7 linked regions of the Mus musculus genome follow. The protein of the gene in region 4 interacts with the protein of the main gene of each other region in a pairwise test. Links are inferred from orthologs where the notes say so. Each region holds a gene or a part of one and is shown on either strand. Other genes may lie near its edges.

The links.
Region 1: the proteins of Atxn3 (region 4) and Arhgap19 interact in binary tests that used the Homo sapiens proteins (3 or more experiments, as listed by UniProt). The link is inferred for Mus musculus from reciprocal best matches to the Homo sapiens genes ATXN3 and ARHGAP19.
Region 2: the proteins of Atxn3 (region 4) and D230025D16Rik interact in binary tests that used the Homo sapiens proteins (3 or more experiments, as listed by UniProt). The link is inferred for Mus musculus from reciprocal best matches to the Homo sapiens genes ATXN3 and PHAF1.
Region 3: the proteins of Atxn3 (region 4) and Tex11 interact in binary tests that used the Homo sapiens proteins (3 or more experiments, as listed by UniProt). The link is inferred for Mus musculus from reciprocal best matches to the Homo sapiens genes ATXN3 and TEX11.
Region 5: the proteins of Atxn3 (region 4) and Rad23b interact in a two-hybrid assay, tested with the Homo sapiens proteins (2 studies listed by BioGRID and IntAct). The link is inferred for Mus musculus from reciprocal best matches to the Homo sapiens genes ATXN3 and RAD23B.
Region 6: the proteins of Atxn3 (region 4) and Ewsr1 interact in binary tests that used the Homo sapiens proteins (3 or more experiments, as listed by UniProt). The link is inferred for Mus musculus from reciprocal best matches to the Homo sapiens genes ATXN3 and EWSR1.
Region 7: the proteins of Atxn3 (region 4) and Dnm2 interact in binary tests that used the Homo sapiens proteins (3 or more experiments, as listed by UniProt). The link is inferred for Mus musculus from reciprocal best matches to the Homo sapiens genes ATXN3 and DNM2.

What each region holds. Positions count from the first base shown.
Region 1 is NC_000085.6:41,777,943-41,781,952, reverse strand, and holds part of Arhgap19 (rho GTPase-activating protein 19), read left to right. Parts: intron 1-603; coding exon 604-795; intron 796-2,744; coding exon 2,745-2,843; intron 2,844-4,010. UniProt on the Homo sapiens protein: GTPase activator for the Rho-type GTPases by converting them to an inactive GDP-bound state.
Region 2 is NC_000074.6:105,245,551-105,249,560, forward strand, and holds part of D230025D16Rik (UPF0183 protein C16orf70 homolog), read left to right. Parts: intron 1-870; coding exon 871-1,004; intron 1,005-1,287; coding exon 1,288-1,371; intron 1,372-2,545; coding exon 2,546-2,628; intron 2,629-3,192; coding exon 3,193-3,236; intron 3,237-3,778; coding exon of another isoform or gene 3,779-3,868; coding exon 3,869-3,912; intron 3,913-4,010. UniProt on the Homo sapiens protein: Plays a regulatory role in autophagic activity. In complex with BCAS3, associates with the autophagosome formation site during both non-selective and selective autophagy.
Region 3 is NC_000086.7:101,056,713-101,061,381, forward strand, and holds the start of Tex11 (testis-expressed protein 11), read right to left. Parts: upstream 2,928-4,669; 5' UTR 2,801-2,927; intron 2,706-2,800; 5' UTR 2,684-2,705; coding exon 2,644-2,683; intron 1-2,643. UniProt on the Homo sapiens protein: Regulator of crossing-over during meiosis. Involved in initiation and/or maintenance of chromosome synapsis and formation of crossovers.
Region 4 is NC_000078.6:101,944,637-101,948,646, reverse strand, and holds part of Atxn3 (ataxin-3), read left to right. Parts: intron 1-207; coding exon 208-372; intron 373-598; coding exon 599-643; intron 644-2,727; coding exon 2,728-2,813; intron 2,814-3,180; coding exon 3,181-3,247; intron 3,248-4,010. UniProt on the Homo sapiens protein: Deubiquitinating enzyme involved in protein homeostasis maintenance, transcription, cytoskeleton regulation, myogenesis and degradation of misfolded chaperone substrates.
Region 5 is NC_000070.6:55,384,481-55,388,490, reverse strand, and holds part of Rad23b (UV excision repair protein RAD23 homolog B), read right to left. Parts: intron 3,082-4,010; coding exon 2,890-3,081; intron 1-2,889. UniProt on the Homo sapiens protein: Multiubiquitin chain receptor involved in modulation of proteasomal degradation. Binds to polyubiquitin chains.
Region 6 is NC_000077.6:5,096,027-5,100,664, reverse strand, and holds the start of Ewsr1 (RNA-binding protein EWS), read left to right. Parts: upstream 1-1,568; 5' UTR 1,569-1,643; coding exon 1,644-1,656; intron 1,657-1,859; exon of another isoform or gene 1,860-2,383; intron 2,384-4,638. UniProt on the Homo sapiens protein: Binds to ssRNA containing the consensus sequence 5'-AGGUAA-3'. Might normally function as a transcriptional repressor. EWS-fusion-proteins (EFPS) may play a role in the tumorigenic process.
Region 7 is NC_000075.6:21,469,504-21,473,513, forward strand, and holds part of Dnm2 (dynamin-2), read left to right. Parts: intron 1-1,839; coding exon 1,840-1,938; intron 1,939-3,109; coding exon 3,110-3,270; intron 3,271-4,010. UniProt on the Homo sapiens protein: Catalyzes the hydrolysis of GTP and utilizes this energy to mediate vesicle scission at plasma membrane during endocytosis and filament remodeling at many actin structures during organization of the actin cytoskeleton.

The sequences.
Region 1 (4,010 bases), on a different chromosome or scaffold from region 4:
GACAGACGTGGAGGCTGCCATCTTATGCTGTGTTTTCTACTCCTGTGTGGTTTTTCTCTCATTCAGTGAATATTAGGTGTGACTAAGTAAGAAACTGCATTTTAATCCTAGTTTAACTAGGCGTGGTGTTTTTGGAGAGCTGTTGCTTTTATTCCTTCCACGCAGTTTGTGTGGAAAAGAGATTCAGCCAAGGCCCAGCAGCCATGGGCTCTATGGTTGGTTATCACTTCAGTGTCTGGATGAAGTTAAATTTCACCTTAAGCCTTTGTTTTTGTTTGTTTCTTGTTTTTGTTCTATCTGCTGGGACTAATACTTTGGGGCTTACTTTATTGTATAGCAACAAGTACTACTTGAAATTAAAAAGTGTTCTGAAAATCGAACTCAAACAGCTACAATTGTTTATGGCAATATTGTTTGGTGTCTTAAGACAGGGTATCACTATGTAGCTCTGGCTGTCCTGGGATTGGCTCTGTAGGCCAAGCTGGCCTCAAACTCACAGAGATCCAGCTGCCTCTGCTTCTGGAGTTCTGGGATTAAAGGCGTGCATCACCACTGCCTGGCTTGGCAGAATTCTAACTGCATGTTTTATACATTTTCCTTTAGGATGACCTTGATCTGACAACCTCATGTCATAACATGTCCTTCCAGCTGGCAAGATGTCAGAGACAGAACAGGGTAGATCCTTCCTCTCAGCAGGAGGAGACCCAGCAGCACACAGAAGAGGCGCTGAGAGAACTCTTCCAGCATGTTCATAACTGGCCAGACTCCGCGAAGAAGAAACAACTTCTCAGACAGGTGCCTGGGTACAGGGACATAGGTGGGCTCTAGGAATCGCTGGAGAACACCACTCAGAATCACATTGGAACAGGCTTTGGCTCAGTCAAAAAAAAAATCAGGCTTGTCTGTGGAATTGCAGTTCTGGAGAGAGGTGTCAGAGTGCTTGACTCTCTGCAGTTAGCTGTGCTTAAACATCTGTAATTTTAGTCACCTGACAAAAACGCTCCAGGGTTTGTGTGGACCAGCAGCTCCAACGTACCATTCCAGGACTGCAGTGCTGTGTGCTCCCTAGGGATATAATTTCTGAATTTCCATTTCCAGCTTTGTGAAACAGTTGTAGCATGCATACATAGAGCTTGTAAAGGAGGAGAGGCTGGCAGAGCAAAAGAGGCAGCTCTTCCTGATGGATGGATGGATTGTTTGTGGTTAGAAAACAGCCTAAAACAGGGTCCTAGTGTATTAAACAGGAATTCTGGTGTCTGCGTTTGCTTATTTTGGGGTTTTGGAGGTAAGGTTAGGTCATTCATTTGCTACTTTGAGGACTCAGTATGACTTGAGTGAATCCTTCCTGGTTGGGAGTCTCTCAGGAGATTTGTCTTAGTTCCTTTGGATTGTGCTGTTCAGGCAAGGCCAGTGCATCAGTCAGTCCTCACTCCCTGTGCAGACTCCTGGGGTAGTCAACATGTGAAAGGAAGGAGTTGCACTTGGCACACAGGGGTGGAAGTTTCTGTCCTTGACTGAGTGGCCCTGTGGGAGGCCTGATATTAAGGCACCAGCATGAGCAGGGCAAAGCAGTGCACCACATGACCAGGTGTCATAGTACCCCTTAGAGGCCGTGCCCCTGTGAGCCAGTACCTCCCACCCCTGGCTTTGGAGGACATTGTAGATTGAACCGCAGTAGTCAGCTCTTCATTCTTGTTCAGCTTGTTCCTTCTTTGGGAAAGACTGCCTTTATTTTGGGGGGAGGGGTGCATCTCTAGCATAAGGCAAGATAAAGAGGTATCAGACACTGCTGGGGACTGAGCTGTTCCCATCAATGGACAAAGTCCTCTACAAGTGTTTTGTCATGGCCATAGAGATGGTTTTAAGAGTAGCAGAACTCAAGTGTGGTGTTAGACATCTGTAATTCCAGCAGTAGAGAAGTAGAGACAGGTAGATCTCTGTGAGTTCAGCTAGCCTGCTCTACATAGGGAGTTCTGGGACAACCAGAACTTGGTTAAAGACTACAGTGCCTCCCCCTGCTGCCCCTTTTTTTAAACTGGAGATGTCTTTATACAAAGAGCTGACAGCATTCAAAGTCTGCGTTCAATCTCTTTCCCTTCATAGCAGTGCTGGCTGACAGAGAGTTTCAATACCTTAGGAGCATTCTGGCTTAGGAGTTCAGTTGGTAGAGGGCTTGTCCTCCATTCATGCACCCTAGGTTGGATTCCTGATGCCTCATAAACTGGGTATGGCCATCTAGGTTTATAATGTCAGGACTTGGAAGGTAGAGGCAGGAAGATTAGGAGTTAAAGGTCATCCTTGGCTATATAGAGAGTTGAGGCCAGCTTGTGCTACATGAGACTCTATCTTAAAATAAATCCTGGCATATAGTTTGTTAAACTGGGGACTCTCATGGCTTATGCTATGTTCTGCTTCCAAGGTACTTGATGCAAAAATAATTCTGGTTTGCTAGCAGGTCTGAGACAAGCTCTTAAGCACTGTGGGTCCTGGTTTCCTGTCTGTAAAGCAGGCATGGGCATCCCTTGTTCAGAGAATCTGAGTCTTAGGACTTCTTCAAGTAATTGAGTATATTTTGTGTTTTTGTTTTTGAATGTCCCTTCTGCTTTTGTGATTGCCTGTGAACCTACCCTATACATCTAGGGAGTCTTTGACTTTCTAAGTATCTTCACTCAGGTATTATTTGCCCTAGGTTGCTGTTTCTTGATGGCACAATGTTAATACAATGGTCTCTGTATTTTTTGTAGTTCCATAAGCAGTCTCTGACTCAAACACCAGGGAGAGAACCTTCTACTCCCAGGGTCCAGAAGAGAGCCCGCTCACGCTCCTTCAGTGGGCTTATCAAGGTAAGCCTGTGTTCCTGCTGCCCACATCAGTTCTCAGGAAATTTGCGCCTTATTTTCTTGTGTTTAAACAACTTAATTCTGTTCCTTGGAGTCCTAGAAAGGGTTAATTAGTAAGGAGACAGAAAAGGAAAAGTTTGGAAAAGGCCTTCTTTTCTTTTTTAATTAAAGATTCATTTATTTTATATATGTTAGTACACTATTGCTCTCCTCAGACACACCAGAAGAGGGCATCAGATCCCATTGCAGATAGTTGTGAGCCACCATGTGGTTGCTGGGAATTGAACTCAGGACCTCTGGAAGAGCAGCCAGTGCTTGTAACCATTGAGCCATCTCTCCAGCCCCAGGCCTTATTTTCTAAAGCATTTTACTATGTTAGAAATTGAAGGAACACTATAGTGGGAAAGTAGTACTGGCCTTCCCTCCTCCTGGGGTCTGAGGACAGGAGTCTCTCTTGCTCCCTGCTTCACTCTTAGCTGGGGACGAGGGACGTTGTTGGACATTGGACTTTCTAATGCTCCCAATGAATTTTGTATCTTTTATTTTGGTGAACTTAATATTTTCACTGTTGTTTCTTTCCATGTATCAAAATGACTAGAAATCTTGTTTCTAGAACAAATAGAAAATGCATTTCTGTGTCATTGCTGCTGTCACTAAGTGTGCAGGCTGCTGACCATTACTGCAGTTAGTGGGAGCTGCTGTCAGGTTCAGTCACAGGGTTCACATTTCTTTCTTTGTATTCTTTTCTCATCCATTACGTCACTACCTCCGTTTCTCCTCCCAGCTTCTATCCCCCACTTCACACCTCCCCTCTTCCCCAGATACACTCTTTCTGTTTCCCTCCAGAACACAGCAGGTCACTCAGGGATATCTATCCATTGAACATGGCAGAACAAGTTACAATAAGACCTGGCACCTCCCTCATATCAAGGCTGGACGAGGCAACCCAGTAGAAGGAAAAGGGTCCCAAACACAGGCAAAAGAGTCAGAAAATCCCCCAACTTCCACTGTTAGGAGTCCTGCAAGAACACCAAGCTACACAACCACAGAGTGTACATAGAAGACCAAACTCAAACCCATATAGGACCCACGTTTGTTGCTTCAGTCTTCACAAGCCCCTATGAGCCTTGCTTAGTTGATTGTGTGGACTGTGTTCTCAACCTCTCAGAT
Region 2 (4,010 bases), on a different chromosome or scaffold from region 4:
GAACCAACACATATGTCATTGTGACTCTTCTGGAAAAGTGGTCTTGAGGGTACAATTGATGTTGTCATGGTGTGGTACTACATGCCTTTAACCCTAGCACTCTGGAGGCTGGGACAGAAGGACCACAAGTCTGAGGCTTTTTATTCATGTTTGTAATGCCCACAGCTGCCTCTGTTTATACCATATCTATGTAAACTCTTAACAGTAGACCTTTCTGGGAGACATAGGCAGTTTTACTCTCCAGAATCTCCCCAACACCTAGCACAGTGTTCTAGCCCATGGTAGGTAATGAAGAACGACTAGGTAACCTGAGCATGTGTCACACTGCCCGTATAATCATAGCGCCGATAGCAGAGGCACAGGATCAGGATTTCAAGGTCATCCTTGACTCCTTTGCAAGTTTGAGGCCACCTCGGGTTATGTGAGATCTTGTCTCAAAAGCAAAAGAAAAGGCTGGGCCTGGTGGCATATGCCTTTAGTTCTAGCACTTGGTGGACAGATCCCTGAGTTCAAGGCCAGCCCGGTCTATAGAGAGTTCCAGGACAGCCAAGGTTATACAGAGAAACCCTTCTGAGGGCTGGGATTGAAGGTATGCAACAGCAGGCTCAGAAAGAAATGCATATTAAAGATAAAAAAAGAAAATAAATACTTAAAGATTGTTAGGTAATCCTCTAGGATCCCTGGTACAATTTTCAAATAGTGATTTTTCAAAGTCTTGCTTAATTAACCTGTTAATCCGGTACTTACACTTTAATAGTCTTGCCCTTTGGCTCGATCTGATCGGTCAGGAGGTAGTTGTTAGCTTTTTGGAGCCCCTTGGGTTACAGTGCCTCCAGCTCTGAGCAGAACCTTCTTTTCCCTTGTCTGCAGGTTGTGGACCTGGAGTGTTAGCAGATGCCAAAATGAGAGTATTTGAGCGTGCGGTGTATTTTGGTGATTCTTGCCAAGATGTTCTTAGCATGCTTGGCTCTCCACACAAAGTCTTCTATAAATCTGAAGACAAGGTAGGGAAAGGTACTTACAGTGTGAATAGCCTCTGTGTCCCCAGTACTTCAGCACTTCAGCATAGATGAGGTCTGCCCCTGAATAGTCTGTTCTCCATGAAGGAAAAGCTTCCCGCGGGCCCTCCGGTGTAACGGCACCATCTCTGTAACCTGGAGATGTGTCCACACTAACAGACCTGGCTCCTCAGCCTCACTTATCCAACAGCTTAGTGTTACATAAGGAGCACAGTATAACTAGAGGCTATTTTAAAGGGATTTTAATTTGTTATTTTCCCCCCAACAGATGAAAATTCACTCTCCTTCCCCTCATAAACAAGTTCCGTCCAAGTGCAACGACTACTTTTTTAACTATTTTACTCTCGGAGTGGTAAGTACGAGGCCTTAACGGGTTTCACTGCTGTTGGCGTAGGCAGGGCGCTGTCAGGTGCTGTGTGACCGTTCCTCCCGGGAATCAGAGAACTTTTGTCTTTTTTGCTTGTGCCCGGTCTATTTTTCATGGGTTCTGGTATCCCAGTGTAGTCAAGACTATGGAGGAATGCTGCGATACTGGCTTTCCTGGTACATCTTGCCTTTCTGTCCCGAGGAAAGTCCTTCACATATGGGGACTGTGGACAGTCTGGCTGGTAGATAGGATGCTTGTATAAATGTGCCAAGTTGGCATGTGCCGTCGGTCATCATTGTTTTTTAACTTTGGTTTGAGACAGGGTCTTGTTGTGTGGCCAAGGCTAGACTCAGACTTAACAATGATCTCGTGTCTGTGAGGACAGGCATGTGTTACTATACCCAACTGGACCATGAATCCTCAAGTGGCTTTGAGCTTTCAATGTTCTGAAGTCTAAAGGCAGAAAAGTAGATTATAGAGAGGGAGAGAAAAAGGCTGCTTAACCTACACAAGCCAGGAATCTGTAGGGAGCTCTGTGAGGACAGACTTCTGAGGGTAGGATGGCAGGTGCCAGGAAGGAATGGGGCTGAGAGAGTCAGAGTTCAAGGACCAGTGAGGAAGATGGCAACAATGGATAGCTTAGGTTGCATTCTGTTGGTAAAGAGACAGAGCAAGAAATTACCCTTAGTGCCTAGGAAAGTTAGTAGTTACAAGAGGAAATGATTAGCATATGGCATCAAATTCAGGTTTCAATTCTGATAAATGGTTATTTTCCATTACTTGTCAATTTTTATAGAAGCTGGGATCCGTTTGGTTATAGTGTTTCCGTAGGTGGGTATCTGAACCTTTCCAGAGTAAACTGCCCTGAGTCTTCTTGGTGGCTTTGAGCCGGAATCTGCATTTGACTAAAAAAAAATGCTAGGTCCCATTGGAAAAATAAGATTTCCCTTCCTTGCTGTTCAAGTTGCCAACAGTGGAACTAGAACCCCAGTTCCTGCCAGGCCCCCTCCACCAAAGATGCCTGGTTAAGGCCTCTAAATATGTGAAGGAAGTTCCTAGTGTTTTCATGATTGAATGCTCCAAGTTGGAATTCTCTTGGAAAGGCCCCTGACCTGCCTTGCTGACTTTTCATACTTGAACACCTTGTTTCCTTTGTCAGGACATCCTGTTTGATGCAAATACACACAAAGTGAAGAAGTTTGTCCTGCATACCAATTACCCTGGGCATTATAATTTTAACATGTGAGTATACCTTAGGTGAGCAAGAGGAACAGAACTTGGGGCTGAATGTGGTGCTGGCCGTTGAACCCAGTGCCTCGAGTGGGCTGTCGGCACTCAAGGCACTCACGGCTTCTACCTGACACTTCTGGCTTGTGGGAAATAAATGGATGCTAGGTGCCTTCTGTGCCCCTGCCCAGTACATCTGTGTGTACTGTTAGCATTTATAGGCAGGGTCTTATGGTCTGGTGCATGTGTGTAACCTAGGCCAGCCTCAAACTCAAAACAATCCTCATCTCTCAGCCTCCTCCTTCTGCGATTACAAGTATGAGTCTCTGTGTCCGACCAGAAACTTTTATCGCTTATAGCAATAGTTAGTAGTCTTTTTAGACCTGAAAGCCATGTGCTTTTCTGTTGGGCTTCAGTGTCTGAGTTGGGCCTTCCTCCCAGTGAATGTTGTGAAAGATCCCAAGCTAGGACTTTGGGCAGGTAACATGGGCTTCTGCCTTTTCTGGGATGCTGAGTAGAGATGTAAGAGTGGTTAGGCCTCCCGAGAAACGGGTTTATCTTTGTCTGTCTTCTTTCTAGTTACCACCGCTGTGAGTTCAAGATCCCACTGGCCATAAAGAAAGGTGAGTCGAGAGTCCCCTCAGGTTAAAGGGACATGCAGTTACCTGCCTGTATGAAGAAAGTAGAGGGGGACTGTAGAGATGGCTCAGCGGTTAAGAGCCGACTGCTCTTCTGAAGGTCATGAGTTCAAATCCCAGCAACCACATGGTGGCTCACAACCATCTGTAATGAGAGCTGATGCCCTCTTCTAGGGTATCTGAAGACAGCTACAGTGTACTTACATATAATAATAAATAAGAAAAAAAAGAAAGGAAGAAAGAGGAGAAGCCAGCCAAGTGTAGTGCTTGGGCTGGCAGTGTCCTTGCTCACTGTCTTCTCCCTAGAGCCTTAGAGCCTTATCTCCTCTGGGATGATCCTTTGTTCTCCTGTGACTGGCACTATTGGCTAGTGGACAGAGGAGTTTCCTGTCTGCAGATTAACACCCAGTGTGCCTTACACATCCTTTGTGCCCATGGCCAACTAGTGTAGCTCACACCAAGATTGGCCTCCCTTTGCCTTTCTACGTTCTTCCAAACAACCTGCCTTTGCTCCCTGTGTACTCCAGCCATAGCACAAAGAGTGGCTATTCTGGATTCTGCCTGTGGCTGGACCTACAGGCCAGCTCAACCCAGCCTGCACCATCTTCTCTTTCCAGAAAATGCAGGTGGTCAGACTGAAATATGCACAACCTACAGCAAGGTAAGCTCTTATCTTCCTGTCTGGTAGTCTAAGAAGGAGGTGTGCATGTCTAGGGCCATGTTCTCTGGGCAGTGCATTAGTCACAGCTGTGTCTGGGT
Region 3 (4,669 bases), on a different chromosome or scaffold from region 4:
TCTCACAGAGATCTGCCTGCCTCTGCCACCCAAGTGCTGCGATTAACCATTTGTTGCAGAAAATCTGACACCTTCTTCTGACCTCTGCAGGCACCAGGCACACAGATAATGCACAGATGGACATGCAATCAAAATACCCTTACATATAAAATAAAAATAAGTGAATCTTTTTAAAATTAATTTCATCTATTTATTTATACTGTTTAATGTGTCTACTAGAATATTTTAAATTAGGCAGTGGTGGCACACGCCTTTAATCCCAGCACTTGAGAGGCAGAAGCAAGCGGATTTCTGAGTTCGAGGCCAGCCTGGTCTACAGAGTGAGTTCCAGGACAGCCAGGGCTACACAGAGAAACCCTGTCTCGAAAAACCATTAAAAAAAAGAATATTTTAAATTAAATATGTAGCTCATTAATTTCTACTAGGCAGGGGCTGGTATTGCATACAACTATATTCAAGGTTTTTTAAATACATTTTTGGCAGTTTCATTTTATATCCTAAGGGGGCCTCAAATTCACTATGTAGTTCAGGATACCCTTAAACTCACAATCCTCCTGTGTTAGCGTCTGGGAGTGATGAGATTACAGGTATACACCACCACACCCAGCTCGATTTTCAAAAGACTTTATAGAATGAGCAATCATAAATACATCAGTAAAAGAAAATATAAACTTGGATATTATAATAATAAATCACAAGGGCATCTATATAACAACAAACTAAAGAAGCTAAAAGTCCAAACAAAGGAAAATAAGAATTTGTCTCCAAACCTACCATATGAAAAGGTATATGTGAAGCTTACTCAAGGCATGGTCTCATTATACTGCCTAGGATGGCCTCAAACTAGCCTCCTATCTTTCAGGAATTGCTTGTGTGTGTGTGTGTGTGTGTGTGTGTGTGTGTGTGTGTGTGTGTCTGTGTGTATGTTTGTGTGTTTCCGCACACGTGTGCACTTATAAGTGCATATGTGTAACATGTCACCAGTATAGAGGTCAGAAGACAATCTTCCAGAATTTCTTCTCTCCTTGCACCATGTGGATCCCAGGGATCAACTCGGGACACCAGGCTTGGTGGCCAGCATCTTTACTGGCTAAGCCATCTCACCTGCCCTTACAGTTAGTTTTTCTAACAGTAAATAAATTTTAAATTTCTTAAAGATAAACTTCTTTATAGCCCTGAGGTTGAATGGCTTGTGGATGGCAGCATTTTTTTTTCTGAAAAAAATCATTTTACAAGCAGAACATACAATACTTCGTTGCCTTGATACTATAGAAGCAAATATGCTCGTTCCTCAAACCCCTGCCTTAGAGGCAAGCTAACTGCCCTTATTCAGGCCTTACAATTAGGACAAGATAAGATCTTAACAGCCGCATCATCTCCAAGAATAAGTTTATATTGTTAGCTGCCCATCTGCTTGCAACAACTTCCTGAATGTCCTTTTTTTTTTTTTTTTTTTTTTTTGGTTTTTCGAGACAGGGTTTCTCTGTGTAGCCCTGGCTGTACTGGAACTCACTCTGTAGATCAGGCTGGCCTCGAACTCAGAAATCCACCTGCCTCTGCCTCCCAAGTGCTGGGATTACAGGGATGCGCCACCACTGCCCAGCTTAAATATACTTTTTACACAGTATTTTTTCAGGTTAAACAGTATGATTCCGCATCTCCTAAAATTCCTGGGGAAAAGCTATAGATTATGACCAGAAAATAAGCTATGGATTGTCAATTTTGTTTCCTTACACTAGTTCATAAAAGGTTCCAAATATTATTTCTGGTACATACATGAGGAAAACTGGTGCACTGAGTACTGTGAAAAGACAAACTTATGAGACAAACTGCACTGCTGGGCCTCCACTCCAGGGATTTACATGTGGAAGGCAAACACTGCCACAGAGCTCTCTCCGAGCTTGTTTTCATTTTGTTTGGTTTTGTTTTGGGAAACAATATTTGAGGTGTTGCTCCAGCCTTAGTCTTACAAATGCTGGGATTATAGGCCAGGTGTGGTGTTTGACACCTGCACTCTGGAAGCTTAGGTAGGAAGATTGCAAGTTTGAGGATAGCCTGGGCTACATAAAGTTCTAGGTCAGCCTGAGACACAGAGTAAAAACTCTGTCTCAAGAAGCCAAAGAGGAAGCCAGGCGGTGGTGGCAGAGGCAGGCGGATTTCTGAGTTCGAGGCCAGCCTGGTCTACAGAGTGAGTTCCAGGACAGCCAGGGCTACACAGAGAAACCCTGTCTTGAAAAAAAAAAAAAAGCCAAAAAGGGGCTCTTCCAGTCTCTTTGGCCTCGGAGGTAGAAGCAACATGACAAAAGGAACGGCATCCTTTGGAAAGCATCCCAAAAACAGGCACACATTGTACCGCCGGTCTCCGTGGCTCTAAGGACGACCACTATCAGAAATCTATCTGTGGCAAACGTGGCTACCCTGCCAAGCGCAAGCAAAAGTCTAACTGCAGTGCCAAGGCTAAGAGACGAAGTACTGCAGAGACTGGGCGGATGAGACACCTTAAAATTGTCTATGGGAGATTCAGACATGGATTTCATAAAGGAACAACACCGAAACCCAAAAGGGCAGCCGTTGCAGCAACCAGTTCATCTCGAGGATTTCAATCAGTCATAAAATAAATGTTATCATACAAAGCTTGCTTACCTCTGAAGTCCAAGAAGTAAAAGTCAGTAATGCGGTCCATTTTTTAAATGTCTGGCTCCAGCCTATGGAACACGAATATATTTTAATATTCTGTCCTCAAGTCTCTAATTTCTCAAAAAGACACTTCTGCCAGAAAACTATACCCATTACTTATTACCTGAAGGTGCAGGGACGTTGAGGAAGCTGCAAATCCAGGAGAAAGTTGTTAAACAGGGAGGCGTCTGCTCTCCCACACCCGAAACGCTTGCTGGCGTCTCGCGTCTCCGACTCCGTCTCCGTCTCTCCGTCTCTGGTGGCCCGAAGCCGAGGCCGGAAGGAGAGATTCACGCTTTACCAGAGAGTCACGCTCTGTGATTGGTCTGTCTGTCACTCAGTGCCCCGCCCTCGTCGTGCAGACAGAATGAGTCACGCTCTGTGATTGGTCTGATTCAATGTTCAAAAACTCTCGTGCGCATCCCATCGGCCCCTCGTTCTTGGATGCGGTTTTTTTGGCGCCTTCTTTCCCGCTCTTGCACGCCTTTCCGCTAACAGTCACTGAATTGGCGCTGAGCTTCCCGCCGTCCATAACCCACCACCACCCCCCATCATTTAAATGACCAACTTCCGCTGCCCACAAACTTCTCGTTCCAAAGATATTGCCTCAAAGCATCTCTAAGAAGTGGCGCAGCACTTGGGAGGCAGAGGCAGGTGGATTTCTGAGTTCGAGGCCAGCCTGGTGTGAGTTCCAGGACAGCCAGGGCTATACAGAGAAACCCTGTCTCGAAAAACCAGAAAGAAAAAAAAAAGTATGTTCAAATGTCTGTTTCTTCTTGCTAGTTCTAAAACCTGGGCTGCAGATGTGGGGTCCCGAGTTCGATAACACACACACTTGAAGCTCTGATGTCATAACACACACACATACACACTCATACATATACAAGATGAACGAAACCACCTGACAAGACCGGAGCACTTGCTATCCATTAAAAAGCTCCCCGTCTCTGCTTCTCGTCAAAAGCCACTCCCGTTTGGCCTTTACGGTATATTGATCCTCCGCCTTGGAATCCTGTCTAGATTCTCTATATTGGATAAAACCAGAACAAGACTATCAGGACAAGGTCTATGATGTAAGACCAAAAGTGCACTGCCCTTAAAGGAAAGGACAGATGGCCAGGATTACAGAAAGAAAAGAATAAGAATTCACACACATGCACACTACAAAGATGGCGGAGGAATAGTAGACAGCGCTGCTCAGTGTTTCAAACTGGCAAGGTATCCCAACACAGTAGCACAGGCTTGTAAAGTCTCAGCAGTCAGAGGCTAAAGCAAGAGAATCCCTTGAGCCCGGGCATTCTGGATCAGCTCAGAAGCGTAGCAAAACCCCAGCAAAGAAATAAGTAAGTCGTGTCAAAATTCAGAAAAATAAGAAATTGTGCACTCTGAGCCAGGCGTGGTGGCGCACGCCGCACACCTTTAATTCCAGCACTTGGGAGGCAGAGGCAGGCAGATTTCTGAGTCCGAGGCCAGCCTGGTCTACAGAGTGAGTTCCAGGACAGTCGGGGCTACACAGAGAAACCCTATCTCGAAAAAACCAAAACCAAAAAAAGAAAGAAAGAAAGAAAGAAAGAAAGAAAGAAAGAAAGAAGGAAGGAAGGAAGGAAGGAAGGAAGGAAAGAAAGAAAGAAAGAAAGAAAGAAAGAAAGAAAGAAAGAAAGAAAGAAAGAAATTAATTGTGCACTCGCCAGGCAGTGGTGGCGCACGCCTTTGATCCCAGCACTTGGGAGGCAGAGGCAGGTGGATTTCTGAGTTCGAGGCCAGCCTGGTCTACAGAGTGAGTTCCAGGACAGCCAGGGCTACACAGAGAAACCCTGTCTCGAAAAAAAAAAAAAAAAGAAGAAGAAAAGAAAGAAAGAAAGAAAGAAAGAAAGAAAGGGAAAGAAAAAGGAAGAAAAAAGAAATTGTGCACTCCAGTCACGGAGGCATGGAGGATAACTGCAGACCTTCACATCTCCCTCCATTCCTCTGAGTCCCAATCCCCCAGTCCCAT
Region 4 (4,010 bases):
ATACTGTAAACCGTTCTTCATTTTTGTTCCTAAAGTAGCTGTAGAATATACATGGGCAAGGAAAATGTATGTGCTTGTGAAATCTGGTTTGCATGGGGCTTACAAAGTTTGTTTTGACTGCCTTAAAAAGTTAGTAATTACATTTTTTAGGAGATATTGTACAGATCGGCTTGATGACATTTGAATGTTTTCTTTTGGAAACACTAGCAAGAAGGCTCACTTTGTGCTCAGCATTGCCTGAATAACCTATTGCAAGGAGAGTATTTTAGCCCTGTGGAGCTATCCTCAATTGCACACCAGCTGGATGAAGAGGAGAGGCTGAGAATGGCAGAAGGGGGAGTCACTAGTGAAGACTACCGCACATTTTTACAGGTACTGATTTTCGACTCACTGAGCCCCATTTTATTGTGGAAATGCGGGTGCTCTTTAGAGGAGGATGAGCCGTTCTCCCCCAGGAGTCTGACTCGGTAATTATCACTCTGCTCCTCCTCACTTGGGAAATGGGGTTGTACAGCGTGTTCTTTTAAACGTGCACACTAATTTTAACCCTTTTCCCATCCCCCTCTGCCCACAACTACTGCCCATGAAAATTGAACAGCAGCCTTCTGGAAATATGGATGACAGCGGCTTTTTCTCTATTCAAGTAAGTAGTCCAGAGTGCAGCGCTGCCTCATTTCCAGCCCCGCTTTGTCCTGAGGCTCAGTTGTGGTTGATGTGCCACAGTGTGCCACAGCTCTTTATGTAACGATGGAGGCTTCTGCAGCTCCTTCTGTAAACTGTCTGCAGAAGATAAGACACTGCAGAGTGCTACACGTACAGAGATGACCACAGGACAGTAGACTCTTCACTTTAGAACGGCTTTGACTGCTCACATGCTTAGGACAGGCAGGCCCTTGCTGCCTATACAGTCCTCGCTGGTCTGAGACTTGTGATCGTCTTCCCCTCTGTGTCTCCAGACTGAAATTATAGGTGTGTGCTACCACAGTCAGTTTAGAGTGGGGCTTTTAAAAATTACTTTCTAAGAGAGATTGCTTAATTTGCATGTAGGTGCTAATAACTCTAATAAATTTCAGTGCTTCAAACTCCCCATCTCTGGCATGTCTGAGAAATTGCAGTGTCTTGCAGTCTTCTATTTAAATCATCCTCCAGGATTGGATTCCTGTTGGGTAGGTTGTAGCCCTCTGAAGGCTGGTATGGAGATTGCCCTCAAGGCCTTGCATGTGCCGAGCTCAAACTGACCCCGAGCCACATCCCAGTACTTTACGTTCTATTTATCTGTGTTGGTTTATTCTTTTTAGTGCTGGGGATGATATCTAAGACAATATTCTGCTCTAGAGAAAATCTCCAGCCCTGTGGTTATACATACATACATACATACATACATACATACATGCATGCATATACGTGTGTGTGTCTGTGTCTGTCCTTCTGTAGCCTAGCATGGCATGGCCTTGAACAAAGCCCTGCTGCGGCATCCCAGTTGTTGGGGTTGAAGTCTGGGCACGGATGCCTGACTTCGTTTGTGTACTTGTGAAGTCCATTCTGACAATGTGAGCGTTGTCCAAATTCTTTCTGAATCTGTCTTTTGAGAGATCTACTTATGCAAGTGTCTTTCTTTATACTTTCCTTCTATGCCACCCTTCTAGAGTCCTCATTCTCTAGCATTTCCACCCAGTACTTCACTTGTGACATTGTGAGGCCCAGTGGGCTTGTGCTGAGAGTACAGGTGAGAGCCAGCAGTCTCCTGTGGTGTCCTGTGTGGCACTGCTTCCATCTCTGCTCTCTCGCACTTGCAGTTGGTCTGAGTTGTACATGTTTCTTTGTTGACTTCCTGGGATAACAGGTGGAATGTTGTCTTAATTTCTCTCTTTTTTTTTTTCAGCTTGCTATCATCAGGTTTGATTTTCTGTTCATGGAAGTTTAAAATACATCAAACCTTCTTTTTAAAGATTTATGTGCCCATGTGTGGATATGTGCACATGAGTGCTGGTGTCTGTGGAGGACAGAAGAGGGCACTGGAACCCTGCAGTTGACATTACAGGCTGTTGGGAGCCCTGACGTGGGTGCTGGGAACTGAGCTTGGGTTCTGTAAGAGCAGTGTATACTGTTGACCACAGTCATCTCCCCAGTGCCCAGACCTTTCTTTTCAACCCCCAGGGAGAATTTATTTACTATACACCTTTGGTGACTGCCATTGCAGGTAGTAAGTGTAGGAAGGGATAGTTTTACAAACAGCACCCACAGTGTGGCGTGCTTCTGGATGTGTGAGACAGTGTTATCTACAAATTCTCTGCTTTTCTGACATTCCTCAGAATGGAAAAGCTCTCTTTCAAAATGGATGTGAGGGGCTGGAGAGATGGCTTCCGTTTAAGAATGCTTAATGGTATTTCAGAAGAAGACCGGCTCAGTTCCCAGCATGTACGATAGACTGCTTACAACTGCCTGTAGCTCCTACATGGACACCTGATGCCGTCTGGCCTCCACAGGCACTCAGACACACTTAGATAAAAAATAATAAAACAATACATCTTTAAAACTTGCAATGAAATAAAATTAAGTTCACATGTATATATTATTTATGGATTTAGTGGGGTGTCAAGGGAACATAATTTGTAAAAGCTATATCCTCAAACTATATATGAAGAATAGTTGCTTATAGTAGCTGTGCTACTTAAACTTGGACTTGAAGGTTTAGCTCATGAAAAGTTGTTATTTTTCTTTTGACAGGTTATAAGCAATGCTTTGAAAGTTTGGGGTTTAGAACTAATCCTGTTCAACAGTCCAGAGTACCAGAGGCTCAGAATTGATCCTATGTAAGATTTTTTCCTATATTTCTTTATTTAGATTTGATTTTTAAAGCTGTAATTTCTGAATGAGGACAAAATCATCATGAATGTCTTTGCTTTATTCTGTATTTGATGCCCTTAGACTTCACCCCGTCACCTTTTTGGTGCCTTTCTTCAGTGTCAGTGGTGGCCCTGCCCTGAGTCCTGTGGGGGCTTTGTGCTTAGCATCACTAAGCTCCTATGGGAGACGCATAGTGATGCGACTTTTATTTTTTCAAATAAGTAATTAAGTATTAATAAGTAATTAAGTATGTCATTAAGTAAATGATAGGAGATACTTGCTAGTACATCTCTACTATCCCAACTTAACAGTATATGTTTTGTTTTCTTCTAGAAACGAAAGATCCTTTATATGCAATTATAAAGAACACTGGTTTACAGTTAGAAAATTAGGCAAGCAGGTAATATATCTTCTATTTTCTTGTCCTTTTATCATAATCTGTACTCTGTTTGAAACTAAAATTTGATATTGGTCTCTTTGGAATGTATCCTAGGATTCTGTGCACTCTACCCAAGTCTGGACTCAATTTAACAGATAAAAATTTCCTAGCTTAAGAGAAGATAATCATCTTCTCTTCAGATTTTTAAAAATAAACCTATATATGTTATGTCATAATGAAAATTTTGTAGTAAAAACAGTGCATATGTGGTTACCGTTACATATGTTTTTGTGTGACGATTTGTGTTTAGCATAGTACTACAACAAAGCCTGAGATCATGGTGGGAATGCGCATTACGGGATGGGCTTCTTTAGGCGATTCTAGTGTCTGGCAGTACTTACATCTGTGCACAGTTACCACTGAACGTGGCTTTAAACTAGTCACGTAAGGCCTTACTAGAATGTTAGAGCTTGCTAAAGGTTATTGAAAACCAGCTTATATAGTCAAAGGGAATGAACTGCTAATATACTCGCAGCGTGGATGAATCTCAGAAATGGGAGCTAAGACCTAATGACAGAAAGTAGACCGACTAGTGCTTGTGTAGGGCTGAAGTTGGAGAGAAGGCACAGAGGGACCTGGAGACGGGACTCTGATGAGGGTGCTCCAGTCTCGGTCATGTTGATGTGGGTGATAGAGATTCTTTGAAACGACAAACTGTAGAAGTGGAAATATAATTATGTGCAGTTTTATCCCAGTGCTGTGGCCCACACCTTTGACCTAGGAA
Region 5 (4,010 bases), on a different chromosome or scaffold from region 4:
GTGTGTTTCTTTAATGATTGAATCTACCTTAATAAGAGAAAAACTAACCAATTAATTTTAACAAGAAAACCAGTAACATTAAAACAAAACAAAACAAAACAAAACAAAACAAAAGCTGAAAAGAGTTGGGCTGGGAGCAGTGGAGGCAGGGGAAACTTCAGGATGTATTGTTGACTAAGAGAAAATACCAATATTTCAATGATAAAAGACAAAAACAAGCACATTTTAAACACACATAAAAATCATTAACTGACAAACATTTAAGATGATCATGGAAAAACAGAAAACTAAAGATTCAAATTGCAAAGAAATAAAATTTAGAAACATTCCTTTTGACAAATGAAAAGTGTAATGAAGTAAGAATAACAGAACTTTCCCATAGGAAAACGAGGCCCAGATGGCAACTAATAAAGTCTGCCAGCTCCTTAAACAATCAAGACCAATTCTTAAATTCTTCCAAAACTACCCTCTACTCCTTCTGTGGGGCCACAATTCCCCAATACTGAAACAATATATCCACCATCAGGAAACTACAAAGTAACAGTTGTTATAAAACAGACAAAAAGTGGGCTTTATCCCAGGTATGCAAATGATGCTTCCATATAGTATAAACTACTTGTAAGAATGAAAGATGATCCTTTGATAAACTTAGAGAAAGTATTTAACTTGTTATGACAAAATCTTCACACCCTGACACTGAAGAGGAACTTCCCTAACCAGCAAGCTCCATGGGAATAAACTAACAATGAGTTCAGCAAGATTTTGGGGAATATAAGATCACCACAGAAAACCAAACTGTTCTTCTCTGCAACTAACAATGAACATTTTGAAAATAAAAAGAACAATTCCTAACAGCATCAAAAAGAATAGTTCTTAGGAAATAAACTCAAAAGTAATACAAAATTTTAATTTTTTTTGTTTTTTGAGACAGGGTTTCTCTGTGTAGCCCTGGCTGTCCTGGAACTCACTGTGTAGACCAGGCTGGCTTCAAACTCAGAAATTCGCCTGCCTCTGCCTCCCAAGTGCTGGGATTAAAGGCATGCGCCACCACGCCCAGCCTAAAATTTTAATTTTTAATTATTACAGCTACAATATATCACTGACCATGCCTTGGTAAGAATTAAGTTGTTTTGTTTTGAAATGATCTTACTACAATCTTAAGACTGCACCTCCCGGGTATTGCATGCTGCAATCCCAGTGCTTGCAAAATGATGGCCGAAGAATCAAGACTTCAAGGTTATCCTCACCTACATACCAAGCCACCATAGGCTACTATATCAAGATTGCTCAAATGACAAGCCCAAAAACCAAAAAGAGGGGAAGAAAAGATAGAGGACATTTCTCAAATTCATTTCCAGAGTAAGCATAATAAGGGCTCTACACTCAGCCAGAGTTCACCCCCTGAAAATGGACAAGCCGACCCTGAGGCTTACACAGAAGAATGAATGAGGATCTGAAACAGCCACAGTTATTTTGTAAACAAAATTGCAGCACTCCACACCCTCTGATTTCACACTTGCTGATCAGTCATTCTCTGCCGGAGAAATGAGTCAATTCAAGCCAAATTGGGGGAAGCTCTGGGGTAAGTTCACCAACCTTACAGGAGTGAAGCAGACATGCAGACAGGGAGACAGAAGGGGGGGGGGCAAATATTGATTTGGGGTGTTGGAGGGGAGAATTCAGAGAGGAGAACAAGGGAAGAGAAGAAGAGGGGAGGGGAGGGAACTAAAATGTCTGGGTTATATAGTGAAGAGCTGGTGGGTGAGAGGAAGCCCAGCCCATGGGTTGTAAGGTTCAGCATACATAGTGGGGTACACCAGTCATGGCCTGTAACAGGTAGGGACTGAGGGATGCTGAGAGAAACTGGAGGCCTGGTACACTTTGATATGTTAAATATGCACTTCATATTGCAGACCACTTGTCTGAAGCCTGAAAGCCTGAAACCTTCCTGGAAATGTACAGTAAAGGTGGTGGGGAATGAGGGACTGGCCTCGATGGCTATGGATAAACATAAAGCAAAGGATTAAAACTGAGCCCCAAAATAACCCTGACACATCCATGCACCACTGACCGGCAGTTAGTCCTTACCACAAGAACTCAGGATGGATCACAGCCCGACACGTAAGAGCGACCTGTGAGCTCTTTGAAAGAATTGGAGACCTGAACCTGACTTTCACATGGATTAAGTAATGTTCTATATAACACCAAGAAAACAGACCAAATAATAATAATAATCACAGAAAAACAGAAAAGGAAAAAAGCTACAATGAGAAACCAATTGAAGCCTAAGTACAGAAGAAAATTAAAGCCAGACAAGGGCAAGCACATCTTTATCTCAGCAAGAGAGCAGAGGTCTCTGAGAACACAGGGCTCTATCTGATTAGCATCCCCAAACACTTCATAACAATGTGAAACAATGTAAAAAGGGAGGGGGAAATGGAGCTACTGATCACAGCATTACACACAAGACATAGGCTGTTGCAGGGCCTAAGGCTGTACCAGTCCACTTGTTACGACAAAAGAGATGGGTAATGTCTCATGTTTATTGTACACCACTCACACGTAATTTATATACATAATTCATATACATATTTAACACTTTGGGGACAGTAACAAAGTAAAATTTAAAATATGGGAAATGAAGGATTTTTAATTAGTTTGGATGTTTAGTGCTTTAGTCATACTTGATTTAGTACTTGAAGTACTTTAAGGTACTGGAGGCTGTTACTGGGGCCAAGAAAGGACAAAAAGCAGGGGATGTGGCTAAGAGAAACAATCTCTACTGCAGTCCCTGGGACAAAGGAAAGAAATGCCACAGCTGCATGGTAGCAGGAGCCACTAGCCCAGGTGCCAGGGTGACCAAGGAACCCCAACTGTACCTAAACTCACCCGTTCTATAGCTTCTTTCTCCTGAGGTGTTACTTGAATGTAATTCATGTGCCCACTTCCAGCTTCTGCAATTCCTCCACCGCCTCCTCCGCCACCGCCTCCTCCGCCACCACCTCCTCCACCTTGACTGCCTGCTTCCTGAACTGGTTCATTCAGCATCTGAATAAAATGCTCCTGGTGTTGGCTAATTTGCTGTAGTGATGGAGAAATGGAAGAAATAACACATAATTACTGTCTGTGGAAAAAAAAGCAAACCTAAATAAAAACAAGAAAAAGATAAGCCAGGCACGGGGAGTCACACTTTAATTCCAGCACTGGGAAGGCAGAGGATCATCTTAGGCATGGCTGAGTCATATAGTAAATTCAATTCCAGACCAGCTCTATCTAAGAGTCAGAAAGAAAGTTAGTTTTAAGTGATTTCTTATATTAAGAAATCACTTAAAATATAAATATAAGAAACACAACAGTTCTGAAAGGTAAATGATGGAGAAAATACAAATTCTTCCAAAAATACTCCACTCCCAAAACAACATTAAAGAGCTGGGGGTTGGGGGGTTGGCAGACGCCTTTAATCCCAGCACTCGGGAGGCAGAGGCAGAGGCAGGCGGATTTCTGAGTTCCAGGCCAGCCTGGTCTACACAAAGTGAGTTCCAGGACAGCCAGGGCTACACAGATAAACCCTGTCTAGAAAAAAACAAACAAACAGAGCTGGGGGGGGGGGGGCAGTGTGATGGCTCAGTGAGTAAGTACACTGACTGCTCTTCCGAAGGTCCCAGGTTCAAATCCCAGCAACCACATAGTGGCTCACAACCATCCTTAATGAGATCTGACGCCCTCTTCTGGTGCTGTCTGGAGACAGCTACAGTGTACTTATTTATAATAGTAAATACATCTTTGGGCCAGAGTAAGCGGGCCTGACTAGGCCAGACTGGAGCAAGCAGGGCTGACCAGAGCGAGCAGAGGTACTAAATTCAATTCCCAACAACCATATGAAGGCTCACAACCATCTGTACACGTACAGTGTATATATAATAAATAAATAAATCTTAAAAAAGAAAAAGAAAAAGAAAGAAAGAAAGCAAAGCAAAGCTAAGCTAAGCTACCATGGGGGCTGGAAAGAT
Region 6 (4,638 bases), on a different chromosome or scaffold from region 4:
TCCTGCTGGGGTGAACTCCACCCTTTATTTTTGGTACTGGGTTGAAGTTCAGAAAAGCAGGCAGATTTCACCCTTACCTGGAGGCAGGGTCACCTAAAATGAAGCTTCCTCTTGCACCTTCTTACAACCATTCCATCCCTGGGCACTAGGGGACAGGTCCATGGACATAGGGAACTGGGCCTCGAGTCCTCTGGACCAGTCTCTTCTCTTTCTTGGCGATAGGAATGGAAACTAGGGCCTCATACATCATAGGCAAGCCGTAACACTCCTGCAACCATATCTTCAATTAATAAAACGTAACTTGTAAGAATCCAATAATGAATCCAGCTGCTCCTCCTAGAACACAATACACGCCTTTCTCCCCTTCAGATTCCGACCGGCCTCTAGTGAGACACTATGAGTGGCGAACTAACAGACTCGGACGCCTGGATCTCTCACCTGAAGGTGATTTTACATAAAATGGGGAACTGGGGGGCTACACATCGGGCTCCCAGCTCCCTTCCCTGCCTGCCCCGGGCCAGAAGCTCCGGCATTGAAGCCACGCCCATCCTCAGAAGGGTGCGACACGCCTACTTCTCCCACATGGACCCTGGTTTCTTCCGAGTCCTCGCCCGCCATGCTAATGTTTGTCTGTGTCTGTCCACTGTGTCAGTAACTCTCAGAAAAGCAAAACCAAAAACCCCACCAATCGCCAACAATCCGCCTCAGTGTCTTTCTGGAGCCCTTGTCAGAGACCTCAGAGCTATGCATATCACACCCTGCCTACCTTGCAGGGAAGCCAGGAGGACAGAGTGGGAAGGCAAGGACAGTGTGGCGAAGCTTCCGGGCGGTGTACAGAGAGGGGAGGCCCGGGGTCTGGGTCGCATTCAGCTTTGTAACTTTAAGGAAAGAACTCAATTTCGTGGGTTCTGGGTTTTCTGTTGAAACAAGGGGATGGGTTGAAGGACGATCACAGGGCTTCTCAACCCCGACCGTTACTGGGGTCGGGCGCGGCATTCCCGGCCTCCCTCCCAAGCCGACGGCCCTCGGTCCCCTCCCCCGCCCGCTCAGGCCACGCGTCCAGGGGCCTGGGGAGCATGTCCTCCCACCCCCACCCACCCTAGAAAACCGAGCAGGGGGGCCCGCCCGGTAAGTCCGGCCGCCGGTTCCAGGCCGAGCCCTCGGTGCCCGAAACCCGCTGCACGCACACAGAGGCGCGTGATCCCGCCCGCCGATTAGTCAGCAGTTGTTTCAGGCCGGCCGGGATCCCTTCCCCCAGCCCTCCCGCCAGCCTCCGTCTCCCTCCAGGGCAGACTCTTCAGAGACGGTCCCTAGAGCCAGCGGGCGTAACCATTCCGAGCCACCGCGCCTCGCGCCAAGGAGCTCTCGGGTTCGTGGGTAACCCTCGCTCACTGGCGCGCTGGCCCCCGAGGCGCCTTTTTTTTTTAGACCACTCGTCACGTCCGGCTCTTTGGGAGAGGATCGGGTCAACGGTTTCGGGAGCGAAGAGCCGAAGAGCTCCGGTTCGCTCCTCTTCGGCCACCCCCGAGGCCTGGCCCGATGGTAGCGTCCGAGGTTGCGGGTTTCGCGCCTGCGCAGTGCGGCGCCTAGGGGGAACGCGAGAAGGAGACGGACGTTGAGAGAACGAGGAGGAAGGCGAGAAAATGGCGTCCACGGGTAAGCGGAGTGGGATCGCGGTCCCGCCGGCGACAGCTGGGACACCCAGACTGGGAGGCGCTCGTCTCTGGGGGTGGCAGGGATGACTGAGTGAAGTCGCCGAAAGGGGTTGGAGTTCCCGCCGCGGCCCGACGAGCTCGGGGGTGGGGGTGGGGGATCCGCGTTCCCTTCCCCTCCCCCACTAGGCGGGCTGGTTCTGGAACCTTTTGGCGGCCGCGTTGCGCGCGAGGGCCTCGCGGTAGCTGAGGCGTGCAGAGCCCGTCCAGGCCTCCTTTGTGTGGTGGTTGTCGGGGCCGGGTGCTCCGGGTCTCTCGCCACGTGGGCCGGGCCTAGGGCCTCCGAGGGCCCGAAGGGGACCGCGGCTGGGCCTGGAGCCCATCACCCCGAAGGCGCGTGAAGCGAGGTGTCTGATGGCGGCTCGAGAAGCCGTGGCCGGTTTCCCGTGGAACGTCTCCTCCCATCGCTAGCCCCAGGGCAAGTGTTTACTGTGTAGGGACTCAGAAAAACAAACAAAAAGCCGTCGCGAATGTGTAAGCTGAGGGGCGCCGGCTTAAGAGGGGAGCCCCATTATCCCCCAGGCCTGGCCCGGCCCGACCAAGCTGCCCCCTCGGAGGACCTAGTTGGTTCCCCTAAATCTTCGTGCTCCCCACTCAAGAGGCTTCGATTTAATCATGAGTTAACTCCACCTCCTTCCCTACCCAAAAAGCAGTGGCTTCCCAGTGTCCTTTTCTCAGCAACCGGCGCGGGGGATCGGTTGTATAACAAGGTCCGTCTGGATCCGGAGAGGAGACTCTTTTCCAGAAAGAGATTTCTAGCAGCTTTGATCCAGGAGAGGCAGAAAAGCCTCGGCACGCCACGTTTCTGTAGGCCTGCTCGTTAAGCTAGCCGGCTGATTTATTTCTTGGCCCTATTGAGGCCAGGGGAAGAGACCCATAGCGGATTTTGAAAGTCCAGGGCGGGAACTCTAGAATGTGATGGTTATGTTGTGGTCCTTACCGAGAGAATAAGTGTAGCCTAGCCCTCACCTGCAGTTTAGAATACAGTTAACTGGCACAGTGGCGGGTTTTTTGTTTGTTTTTGTTTTTGCTTCTAGCGGAATCTAGGGTCTGGTGATGTGGCCTTGGAGGCAGGAGGAGAAAACAAGTGGGGGTGACAGGAAAAGCTCTGGGTTCTTCATTTGGCTTAGGAAAGCTTCCAGCATCACAATTTGACGACGCAAACGATGTAGTTAGTAAACAGCTTGCTTTTGGTACCAGGCTACCCAAAGTGTCCCTAAGAGAAGACTGAGATACGACTACAGTCCAATATATCCTAGTGGAAAATGGTTTCTTTGGTGGTCCTTTTACCCTTCTCTTAACCTCTAAAGCCCAAGAAGGCAATTGCAGTTTTTCTGCTTGATAGATCATTGCCACTTTTTAGTCATCTTTGTTATCAGAAAATGTTGATAGCACCCTGAACCAAATTTAAGTTGAAAAGTGTGCTCTGCTATACCCACAGTCCTGGCCCTGCTGAGGGGACTTTATTAAGGGCTTTCCTGAAAAACTTAGTTTTAGACTTTTTTTAAAGGGTCGGTGGCGATGCACCGGTGCTGGGAAGGCAGAGGTAGGTGGTCTCTGAGTTTGAGGACAGCCAGGGCTACACAGAGAAATCCTGTCCTAGAAAAAAAATTTTTTTTCTTGAGCCTTTCAGTTCTTAAAATAACTTTTTTTTTTGGTCCCAACAAACTTACCCTTGCTAGCTACAGGAATTATGTAGCCTAAACCTTCCTATTCAGCTTGGCTAATGGCTGCCCTGAAGCAAGCCACTGCCTAAGGGGAGTAATGGTTTCCCTCCTCTGTATCTTGTAGAACAGTAACTATAGAGTGTGTCCAGTAAAGCAGAATTACAGTCTCTAAATAACTACCAGAACAAAAAGTAAAACATTAGCATTCTAGGATGCCCCTACATCATAATCTCTCAGCCTGCTCTGTGTGTGTGTGTGTGTGTGTGTGTGTGTGTGTGTGTGAAGTGTTTACGTATCCGGGCATTTAAAGACTTATTTTTTCAATTGTTAAATTATCTGACCATTGCTTCAGTGTCATGCTTGTAGGTAGATAAACATGGGGGGGGGGTCGCTTTTTCCTTAGCCTACCAAATCCTTTGGCAGCACCCTCGTCTCAAGTGGTTGGCTGTTCTGTATCAGCATTGCCAATTTTACATAACTGCTCTTGTGTAAGTCTTTGTAAACATCAAACTTAATGCCAATGACTCAAAAAGTCGTTTTTACACAGAAACCTCAACAAAATGTAGGTTGCAGTATTTGCTTTGTTGTTTGTTTTTCATATAAAGAATGTGGCAAGTAGCCAGTCATCATCTAATCCTAGATTGGGGAGCGCAGCGTTTGAGGCCAGCTAAAGCTACATAGTGAGACCCTGTCTATAAATAAATAAATAAACAAACAAATAAACGGCAGAAAGGTAGACAAAGGAAGGTAGCAAGTAGGCATGGAGGTACACACCTATAATTTCAACACTAGTTGTAGACAGCCATACGGGGTCTGTAGCAAGTTTGAGGCTAGCCTGGTCTATATAACTAATTAAGGTCAGCCAGCTAAGTAGTTAGATCCTATCTCAGAACCACTACTTCACCACCACAGAAAATGTAGCTTTATTGGAAATGCTTCAGAATTTTGTTAGAGGATTATTTTCTTCATTGTAGATATCTTTTGAACAGTTTACTGATACTATTGGTAATCAGAGCTCTGAATTTAAAAGTGTAGAAGGAAAGTAGTCCCATGAGGTGCAGAAAGGTTGAAAGAGTCGATTTTAAGAGGTGAGTTCAGGCCAGGTGGTGTTGGTGCAGGCCTTTAGTCCCAACACTTGTGGGGCAAAGGCGGGTGTTTCAAAGCCATCCCGATCTACAGAGTGAGTTCCAGGACAGCCAGGGCTGCACCCCGTCTCAGAAAAAGCCAAAGGGGGGGCAGAATGAGTTCAGGAAAGTACT
Region 7 (4,010 bases), on a different chromosome or scaffold from region 4:
TGTGACGCTGGTGTGGTGCCGCACACTAGAGGTGAAGGCAGGGGGATCAAGATTTCATCATCTGCTACACTGAGAGGCCAGCCTGGGCTACAGGAGAACCTCTCTCAAAAAACAAGAAGAAATAAAACCTGGAAAAGTAGAGAAGGGCGCACACACCCTGGGAGAGTCCGGGTGGGGTTTTGAGCAGAGGAGGCCTGTGAGGCCGCAGAATGAGCTGCAGGTAGGGCTGTGTGCCCTCGTCAGGAGCTTCTTAGCCCATCCAGCCGTGCTGTCCGCTGTCCACACACAGTGGGCGTGGCCATGGCAAACATTAGCAGGGCAGTGCAGGCGGTCACCATTTGTGAGCACATTTTTCTTTTCTTTTTTTCTTTTTTCTTTTCTTTTTTTTTTTTTTTTTTTTTTTTTTTTTTTTTTTTTTTTTTTTGCCTTTGAAAATACTCATGGTTTTTACAGAAAAGTTACCATGGAAAAATCAGGAGCCTGCAAAGCTCCCTTTTTCCATGTAGATAGCGCTGGCCACAGTTCCTTTCAAAGTTTTTCTTACACGTAAACTTATTTTTTAAGAGGACAGTCTCTCCTTATTTCTGTCTGTGCCTCTGTGGTCATTGCTTTTGTTGATTGCAACTTTTCTTTGTTTATTTTTCAATCATGGTTTCAGAATGTAGCCCTGGCTTACCTGTACTTCACTGTGTAGACCAAGGCAGTCTCAGTATCAGATTCTACCTGCCTCCCCCTCCCAAATATTAAGATTACAGCAAGCCACCATGCCTTGCCCTACTTTATATTATAGTGATAGTGTGTTACTCTGTGGGCAGGCCCCATTGTACAGTTACCCTCTCCTCACCCTCACTGTCTCTCTTCTCAGCAGCTGGCTTCCTGGGCAACCATGGCTCAGGCCCCTCTCCACTCATTTCTCTCCATAGTGTGGCCTCTTCCCTATCAACTATGAATTCTTATAGGTGTACCCACTTCACAATAGTGCCAGCTAAGGTAGTCACCTGTGATGGCCAAGTTGATCCCAGTCTTCTGTGGGCCTCCATTAGCCTCTGTGTGTCTTGCACACATGGAACATACAGGCAACACATTCACAGGTGTGTCCAAGCCGGTGCCTGGGTTCCTTATGTATCAGGTGGTTCTTGTTAGTTAGGCAGGATCTTCTGTGGTCCAGATTGGCTTCAAACTCTGTTTAGTGGGAGATGACCTTAAACTTGTGATCCTCCTGAGTCTACCTCCCGAGGGCTGAGGTCACGGGTGCACACCTTGCAGGCTCAGTGTAACCAGATGTTTAGGAAAGAGCCCAGGCTCCTTGGCAAGTGCTCCGCACCTCACCTGGCACAGGGTCGACCTAGGGTTTCTGAATGCTAAGGCAAGTCCATGGAGTACATGGGCTTCTACCCTGGCTTGGAAGCTCAGCTTATAAACTGCTCGGGTGAACCGTGGTCAGGACCCCAAACTAGGGATCCGGGAGCAAGGGAGGCTGAGAAGCACAGTGGATTTATTTGGTGGTGTGGCTTTGCTGTGGGATGTGCTAACTCTGGTTGACTTGGGGAGAACTTTGATGGGCTGGTCCTTGGAGTAGTAATTGGGCCAGGTTGCTCAGGTTCAAATGTGATGTTGAGAATGGGCAGGGGGGATTCTAGTTTCCGTGATGTTCATTGGTTCTGCTGGGGTCTTGTTATGCGCTTACCAGTGTTCTGTCACTAGAGCAGTAACTGTCATTTTATACTCTGCCAACAGTTGTCCAGGCAAAAGATACCATGGCTTGTCCCTGTCTCTTGGACTGTAGAGGGCCCCAAGGGCCCTTGATCATGATCCCTTCTGACCTCTGGACTCTTTCAGGCCTACGGACCATCGGTGTCATCACCAAGCTAGACTTGATGGATGAAGGCACAGACGCCAGGGATGTCCTGGAAAACAAGCTACTGCCCTTGAGAAGAGGTATGTACACAGGGCTGGGGTGGGCCACAGATCAGGGGTGTATCTTTTGTGGTTCTCCTCTGGACACAGTGTTTCTACATTACAGCTGTTTTCTGGAACACTAAGAAGCAGGTATGCAGCCACACTCGTGCTCGGTACTTGCTGTAATCCCAGCACTCTGGAGGTGGGGTTGGGGTCAGGAATTCCAGGTCATCTTGGGCTACATAGAAAGTTCTCTGTCAGCCTGGGCTACATGAGACCTTGTTTCAAACAAACAAATACAGAATGTTTCATCAGAAATAGATTGAGTTACTGGAAATGAGTCTCAGTGGTTGTATTACTCAGGGTTCTCTAGAGTCACAGAACTTATAGATAGTCTCTATAGAGTAAAGGAATTTATTGATGACTTACAGTCTGCAGTCCAATTCCCAACAATCGTTCAGTAGTAGCTGTGAATGGAAGTCCAAGGACCTAGCAGTTGTTCAGCCCCACATGGCAAGCAGGCGAAAGAGCAAGAGTGAGACTCCCTTCTTCCAATATCCTTATATGGTCTCCAGCAGAAGGTGTAGCCAAGTTTAAAGGTGTGTTCCACCACACCTTTAATCCCAGATGACCTTGAACTCCCAGTCTTCTGGAATCCATAGCCACTATGCCTCAAGATCTCCATACCAAGATTCAGATCAGAAACTTCTATCTCCCAGCCTCCAAATTAGGGTCACTGGTGAGCCTTCCAATTCTGGATTGTAGTTCATTCCAGATATAGTCAAGTTGACAACCAGGAATAGCCACTACAGTGGTATAGCCCTTGCTCAGCACATGCAAGGAACCAGGCTCATTCCCCAGCTTCCCAAACAAAGCATAACAAAGAGACACTGCTGCTGCTTGAGTCTTCCCTAGCTAGTGGAGGCTGGGGGATGAAATGCAGGACCAGAAAGGGAGTCAACTACATGGGGCAGTCCCTGTTGAACTGCACCTCCAGCCCACTCATACCTGCCCTTGAAGTTCACGATGCTTTCCTCAGCTACCTTCCATGCCATTCACACCCTTGGTGGGGCTCAGTGCTGCCCTGTGCCCGCTCTCGTGAGTGATTTTTGGACCAGTCTGTTTCTAGTCTCCACCTGGCCAGCTCAGCACAAAGCCATAGCACCATGTCCTTCCTGGCGTAACGCATACCTTGACCTTCTTTCTTCAGGCTATATCGGCGTGGTTAACCGAAGCCAGAAAGACATCGAGGGCAAAAAGGACATCCGGGCTGCTCTGGCAGCCGAGAGGAAATTCTTCCTCTCCCACCCAGCCTACCGGCACATGGCTGACCGCATGGGCACCCCACACTTGCAGAAAACCCTGAACCAGGTATAGCGGAGGTTTGAGGCCACCAAGGGCTGGTAACTACAGCTAAATGGGAGGTTGCTGTAGTCTGGACTCCTGCAATCTAACCCTGTGCAGCCTTTGAGCACAAATCCTGGCCTGGCTTTCCCATGCCTTCTTTCTCTTGTCCATCTTGCCCTTATATTTCCTAGGGTAGGGGTCTGTGAGGCCATGTGTGTCCAGGACAAGGTACATGCCTTGTGTGACAGGATACAGTAAACAGTATCCACCCACTGCTCTGTGCCTCACGCCTCCTTACTCACAGTGACGACACAGTGAGAAAACTGGAGCGCCTGCCTAGAACCCCCTAGTGAGGGTGTGGGGGTGTGGCTTGGTGGCAGAGCACCTGTTTAGAACCCCACAGTGGGAGTGTTACTTAGCAATAGAGTGCAGGCCTAGGATGTGGAAGCCCTGGGCTTCATCTCCAGTACCGAATAAATCCAGTGTGGTGGTGCTACTGTAATCCCAGCACTCAGGAGCTCAGAAAGCCAAAGTCATTCTCAGCTATGTGATGTGGGATAAGTGAGAGTCTACCTGAGTCAAAAAACAACAGCAAAGACCTCTTTGCTCATAGATTGGGACCTGAAGAGAGAGCCATTGTCCTTAGGGAATGTCCACTGGAAAGCCAGCTGGTAAACGAGCCACCAGATGAATTCCTCAAGTGTTAGCTGTGGCTGGAGGTTAGTGCAGAATGAAGCTGAGAGCAGCATCCCTAGAGCAGGTGC